Linked DNA regions of Cricetulus griseus. Each later gene encodes a partner of the first gene's protein in a complex. Links are inferred from orthologs where the notes say so. Each region holds a gene or a part of one and is shown on either strand. Other genes may lie near its edges.

Region 1 (3,188 bases):
AGATTTGAAATGGGCTGAAAAGAAAAGTTCAATGAAGGTAGGCAAACCGAGATGGAGTGGCTTGATGAAGAGCCTGAGCTACTGAGGTCCCAGGGGCTAGGAACAGCCAGCGGAGTCCCCAGAGGAAGATGGGCACCCTCACAGCCAGGGAGACCTGAGCTAGGAGCCCGTGGTGTCACCTGACAGCGCCCACCGCCTACTGAGACACGGACCGCGCGGCAAGGGCCGCTGAGCCCCAAAGGAAATGGGATCGGGACACTGAGCCCAAAGGGTTCCTTTGCTGTGGGACCCGGTGGCCGTAGCCGCTGCGTACCTGGGGCGTTTGGAGGCCCGGAGATGGCGACAGCAGCTCAGTGTACGCTTTTTCCGCCTGTGCCTGCCGGGAAGCCCGATCGGCAGCTCGGCGCTCACTCTCCCCACCTAAGCCTACGCACAGAGCAGGCCCAATCAGAGGGTCGGCGCTCGTCCTCTCGGCCTGGGCCTGCGCTCTGGGGCAGCAGCGCCTGTCAAGTCTCACGTCGTCCACCCCTTTCCCAGACAGCCACACGAAGGGGACAGCAGCTTAGTTTATTAAGTTTTTTGTGGGGGGGGTGGAGGGGGGTAGAGACGACAGGACCAGGGTCAGAGGCATTTAAAGAAGAGCTTGGGACCTTGGTCCAGTGAGCACGCGCTGGCCGGCAGTCTCCGACACACTGCATCTCGGTCCCTTGTGCTCAGGCGTTTGCTGCACAACTGCAGCTCCTGCAGCTGCATGAAGATCTTGTCCCAGATGTCGGAGTTCAGGGGCCCCTGGATGGAGCAGCCTTGGGGGCGGGAGGGGGGGGAGTAGGTTTAACTTCCAGGCAGGTTTTTCCATCTCACACGCTCGAGCCGTGTTGCTCATGCCATACCTCGGAGCCTACATTTTGGTTTGCCCTGATGTAAAATGTGTACTCAACAGGGCTTTGCATATTTGTATGTTGTGGGCCCAAGGATCCCTGGAGGCTACTGAATACCAGGATTGATCGTTAGGCCAGAGATCTCAGAAGGCTCAGGATACCAGGAAGCTGTATAAAAGGGCACAGGTGCCAGAAATACCAGCGTGTGGAGCAAATCAAATTAAGAACACAGGGATCCCCTCTGCTCAGCTTTTATCAAATTTCAGCTGAGCAAGGCAATGCCTGGCCAGTCTACCAGGTACACCTCAAAGGTGGAGAATGCCTTGGTGTAGCAAAACAAGCTACCTTATCAGTAAGTAGGGCATGAGTAATCCTTTCTACCAGGGATGAGGAAAGAGAGGGCCCTTTAGTGGAGCTTGCACCACCCTAGATTCCATCCATCTTCCGGCCAAAAAGAATGAGGAAAGAACTCTTCCTGTAAGTGACAATGGTTTGATACTCTCCTGACCCAGAAAATCCTGCATCAAAATGCAAATCAAGAGGTTCAAATCTTCCGTTTTTTTTTTTTTTTCAGACAGGATTTCTGTGTAGTCCTGGCTGTCCTGGAACTTGCTTTGTAGATCAGGCTGGCTTTGAACTCAGAGATCCACCTGCCTCTGCCTCCCTAGTGCTAGGATTAAAGACCACCATCTCCACCCACAGCATTGATTTTTTTTTTTTGTTTAATGAATTTAAGGCTTTAGCTGTAGATTCTCTAGTTACAAAGCAGCTAAGATGCACTGTTAAAAGTAGAGATCATTGTGGATTAATCCAGGCATGAGCTACCCCTGCCTCAATGAGATGATCCTCTCTGCAAAGGAACAAACTGTTCCCAGCCAGGTGGCTTCACAGAAGAAAAGATAACCCAGGAAAAGACTAAAAAACAAAAATGTGCAGGGTGGCGCGGCACAGGCTTTTAACCCCAGCACTCGGGAGGCAGAGGCAGTCAGATCTCTGTAAGTTTGACGCCAGCCTGGTCTACAAAGTGAGCTCAGGAAAGCTACGGCTGCACAGAGAAACCCTGTCTCCAAAAACCAAAGAAAAAGTATGACACAAGAATAAATTCAGGGGAGGATGGATATATAAATATGATTAGTAATTAAAGAATAAAAAAAGAATAAATTAAGCATTAAATAAAAGCGAGTGAGGACCAGAGAGATAGCTGAATGGTTAAGAGTACTTGCTGCTTTTACAAAAGATCTCAGTTGGGTTCCCTGACCCGACTTGCATTGGTGGCTTACATTCATCAGTAATTCCAGTTCTAGGGGTACCAGACACGCACATGGTGCACATACATACAGGTAAAACACTCATACAAATAAAAATAGGCAAATCTTTTTTGTTGTTGATTTGTTTTGAGAAAGGTCTCCATGTAGCCCCAGCTGTTCTGAGACAACTAGTCTAAATTCTGGGATTAATGGCATGCACCATTGTATCTTGCACAAGTAAGTAAATCTTTATAAAAAAAAAAAAAAAGTTTTCTGGGCGTTGGTGGCACATGCCTTTAATCCCAGAACTCGGGAGGCAGAGGCAGGCGGATCTCTGTGAGTTTGAGGCCAGCCTGGTCTCCAGAGCAAGTGCCAGGATAGCCTCCAAAGCTACACAGAGAAACCCTGTCTCAAAAAGCCAAAAAAAAAAAAAAAAAAAAAAAAAAAAATTCATTTAAATTTATTTTATATGAATGGTGTGAAGGTGTCAGAGCCGTGGGAACTGGAGTTATAGATAGTTATGAGCTGCCATGTGGGTGATGGGAATTGAACCCAGGTCCTCTGAAAGAACAGCCAGTGCTCTTAACCACTGAGACATCTCTCCAGCCCTGGTCCTTAATGCTTTTTGTTGTTGTTGACTACTTTTTTTCCAAGACAGGGTTTCGCTGTGTAACAGCTCTGGGTGTCTTGGAACTTGCTTTGTAGACCAGGCTGGCCTCGAACTCACAGAGATATGTCTGCCTCTGCCTCCTCAGTGCTGGAATTAAAGTGGTGTACAATCACCACCCAGCTTTTTCCCTTCATGCTTTTTTTTTCATTCAAAATTTTGTTTTTAGGGGGGCTGGAGAGATGGCTCAGAGGTTAAGAGGGCCAACTGCTCTTCCAGAGGTACTGAGTTCAATTCCCAGCAACCACATGGTGGCTCACAACCATCCGTTATGAGATCTAGTGCCCTCTTCTGGTGTGCAGATATACATGGAAGCAGAATGTTGTATACATAATAAATAAATAAAATCTTTTAAAAAAAAATTTGTTTTTAGTGGAGCAGTAGTGGCACACTACT
Region 2 (3,818 bases), about 260 Mb from region 1:
AAGACCATGACAAAAAGCAACTTGGCAAGAAAAGAGTTAACTTAGCTTACAGGTTGCAGTCCATCATCACAGAAAGGCATGGTAGGAGTCTGGATATAGGATGAAGCAAAGACCACAAAGGAATGTTGTGTTCTGCCTTGTTCCCATGGCTTGCTCAGCCTGGTTTCTTATACCACCATCCCCGGTGAGCTGGGCCTCCCATATCATCATCAACCATGAATTAAGAAAATGCCGTAAGCCGGGCATTGGTGGCGCATGCCTTTAATCCCAGCACTCGGGGAGCAGAGGCAGGCAGATCTCTGAATTCGAGGCTAGACTGGTCTACAAGAGCTAGTTCCAGGACAGCCTCCAAAGCCACAGAGGAACCCTGTCTGGAGAAAAAAAAAGAAAATGCCTTTCCCTACAGGCAATCTGGTTGAGGCATTTTCTCAAATGAAGTTCTTCCTAGATGACTAACTTGTATCAACTTGACTAGGAACTAATCAGGGCAGTAATTCTTTTTATTTTCTGAACTACTATATAGCAGTATGATACAGTTTAACATAAAACTTAACCTTAAAAATGTTTGTTGTATCTTAAATTTCCTGAAGATAGAAATATCTCATTGTTACCAAAGGCTGTGATTTTGAAATAGTTTCTGAGATCATTTGTCTAAAGATACTTTTGTAAGTTTAGAGAGATGTACTTTATCTTAAAAAATTTGCGGTGTCTGAAGCTGACTTTTTTTTGCTTCTTTGTGGTTTTCGTATCGTGCATTCCCATCCCGCTTATCTCCCTGTTCCATCAGATCTTCCCTCTGCCCTTGCAACCCCCCCAAACAAAACCAAATTTAAACGGAAAAACCAAACCAAACAAAAACAAACAAAAGAAGAAACTTGTCATGGAAGCTTTTAATAAACATTTACAAAGTGAATTATAAAATAATGGAGCTATCCTGTAGTGTTAGAAACCTAACCCATGTAATTGGTATACACTTTACATTGTGCTAAAATTTACTCTCACATTTTTTTAAATCAGGCAACAGCTATTCAACTTGGAATCCTTAGTTCAAGTCAACTGTGATTTTGGTAAGTTTAATGTGTGCTTAATCACAGAAGAATGCCACTCTATTACACTGATGTATAATTGGGGTTTCATGAAAATGTGAAGTAAGTGCCTTTTTAGAGGGTCAGTGACTCTCAACGTTTGGGTTGACCCCTTCAGGGGTCACATATAAGAGATCCTGGATATTTACAGGATCAGATATTTACATTACAATTCATAACAGTAACAAAATTACAGTTAGGAAAGTAGTAACGGAAATAATTTTATGGTTGGAGGTTATTACAATATGAGGAACTGTATTAAAGGGTCACAGCATTAGGAAGGTTGAGAACCACAGTGTATCTGGTATTTTGAAAGAGTATGACATTTAAATTTTGTTAATGGTGAGAGTTATAGTATTTTTGTGAATTTTGTAGGATTTAAGGTAAATCTGACTTGAAAAAAACTTAAACTTTTCTAAGAGGATTATTTCTTTGGAATTGTGGAACGGGGTGGGAAATATAAATACAAGATAAAAAGTAACAGATCTCCCAGGACTCTTGGTCATCTCTCCTGCTTTCTACTTCTCTTTCCTTATGGCATTTAGCTGATTGCTGATTGCTTTATGTTGTTTCTGGTTTTTTAAGTTTAAGATAGGAGATATAGAACATAAGAAGCCTGGCAAACCTTTCTGATGTGTGGTGATTTATGGTTTTCATTCCTGCTTATTAGAAACTTGAACTGTTCTAACTGGTGTGCACTTTGTAGAGTTGTTTCCAATGTACTTTTTTAGTCTAAGGTGATGTTTCCTCTTATCACTGGGTAGATCAGCAGCTAAGGAGACCTGTAAATCACCACTCTATCTTACCTGGTTTCTTTGTTCTAGTGTGCTTTTGTCCAATATGTTTAATTTTTTAAAACTGAGATTGGCTGTCTCCTTAAGTAGGTTCTGTCTAGGTTCTCCCTGGGATAGTGGCTTAGAAACTACCTCTGTGTAGGAAGCTGTTATGATCATAAAGTTCCATTTCTAGGATAGAATTTAATTGTCATGATTGTAGTACTTGAAAACTTACTTTATGTTGTTTCTTGTTTTTTAAGTTTAAGATGGGAGATATAGAACATCTGAACTCTTTATTCCATCTTGCCCAGATGCAGAGGTTTTAGCAATTTTTAGAAAATACTATTTTCATGAGCTGAGATTTGTCAAAACTGTGTTTTGTGGTCCTGTGACAGAGTACCTGAGACAAAAGTCTTATTTAAGTATGGTTCTAGAGACAGAAAAAGTTATATCTGGTAGCTCCTTATTATAAAGGCACAAGATGGGCCTCATAGGCACCTGGAAAAGAGAGAAAGCTTGAGTAGTGAACTATGGTTGCAGCAGACCACACTGTCCTAGTAAATAATCACACCGTCTTAGTGAGTAATGGAATCTGTGATGGTGAGATGTCATTCATCCTTCTTGATAGTCGACTGGTCAGCTCTTCAGGCCCCTTTACTCCTAACCCCACTACAGTGGAAACTAAATTTCAGTGAAAGCTTTGGAGGGACAAACCAAACTAATACTATAGTAAAGATCAAAAAGATTTTACTTATTGGTGACATATCAAAGAGCAGTTTTAATATTTAGCTGTTAGCATAATCTTACTATTATTTCCAACTGCAATTTTTACAAAGTAGTAGCAATTTTATTCAAATGCTCATTTGAATTCAAACAAGTTTTATGTTAAATATGTATGAGAAATTTTTGTCCATAATTCTTACCCTGTTTTCTCTGTCTTTGTTTAGCTTTTGTCTCTCATAATTGTCAGTGTTTTGCATATAGCAGCAATGTATATAATTCTTAGTGATGTAGTTATTAAAGAAATTGAGTGAAACAGGTGGCAGAAGATGAGTTTAGGTGAATTATTCAAAGGCTATTTGGGCCTTATAAATCATTGTAAGGAGTTTTATTTCATTTTATATATAATATATATATATATAATATATATATATATATATAGGCCTTTATGTGCATTGACTTGAGAGCAACAAGAAATATGTAAAGTCCTATGGTGTGTTCTAATGAGAGACTAGAGAAAGTGGGTTATTTCAAGGTGTATTTGTTGTAAATACTTAATAGGTTAGATTTAAGATAAGCCTGTAAAAAAATTTTGGCCACTGTTCACTGACAGTTGTTTAAGCTATCTTTGATAGTGTCTATTTCCTTTTCAGGGAAGATAGCCACCTTACACTCCAAAGCAGACAGTATTAGGCAGCGATGTGTAACATTTCTCCACTACATTAAAGTTTTCATCTTCAGGTAGGAAAACGAATGGGTATTTTTCTTACTGCATGGATATCTGTGGGTATATTCACATAGATTCTTGTATACTTATTGTATCTAATGCCTTTTTAGGTGCCTGAAAGTACAAGACACCGAGAGCCACAATCTTCATGTCCATCCCTATGAGGCTTTGGAAGCTCAGCTTCCTTCGATGTTGGTTGATGAACTTCGTGGATTGCTTCTGTATATTGGACATCTAGCTGAACTTCCCAGTGTAACTCTAGGAGCATTTGTAAATCAAAACCAGATTAAGGTTTGATTAGTTTGTTTTTTAAATTATCCAACATTTTTCTCCCTCAAGAAAAAGTGTTCAAGTATAAGAAGAATTGGTACAAGCATGGCATGAAATGAAACTATGATCTCCTGTCAGGTTAATTGTGTGTTTTTACTATATAAATGTGCCTCTCCTTAGTTTCTCCATTTCCACAGCTTACTAAGCTTCTAGGAGTTATGGGAAGTATTAAATGATTAG

Evidence for each region. The genes of interacting proteins can lie anywhere in the genome.
Region 2: Tonsl (region 1) and Mms22l share a complex: the UniProt entries of both Homo sapiens proteins name them as parts of the MMS22L-TONSL complex. The link is inferred for Cricetulus griseus from reciprocal best matches to the Homo sapiens genes TONSL and MMS22L.

Annotation. Positions count from the first base shown.
Region 1 is NC_048595.1:373,903,603-373,906,790, forward strand, and holds the end of Tonsl (tonsoku-like protein), read right to left. Parts: intron 804-3,188; coding exon 622-803; 3' UTR 553-621; downstream 1-552. UniProt on the Homo sapiens protein: Component of the MMS22L-TONSL complex, a complex that promotes homologous recombination-mediated repair of double-strand breaks (DSBs) at stalled or collapsed replication forks.
Region 2 is NC_048595.1:117,163,940-117,167,757, reverse strand, and holds part of Mms22l (protein MMS22-like), read left to right. Parts: intron 1-1,017; coding exon 1,018-1,067; intron 1,068-3,234; coding exon 3,235-3,322; intron 3,323-3,418; coding exon 3,419-3,599; intron 3,600-3,818. UniProt on the Homo sapiens protein: Component of the MMS22L-TONSL complex, a complex that promotes homologous recombination-mediated repair of double-strand breaks (DSBs) at stalled or collapsed replication forks.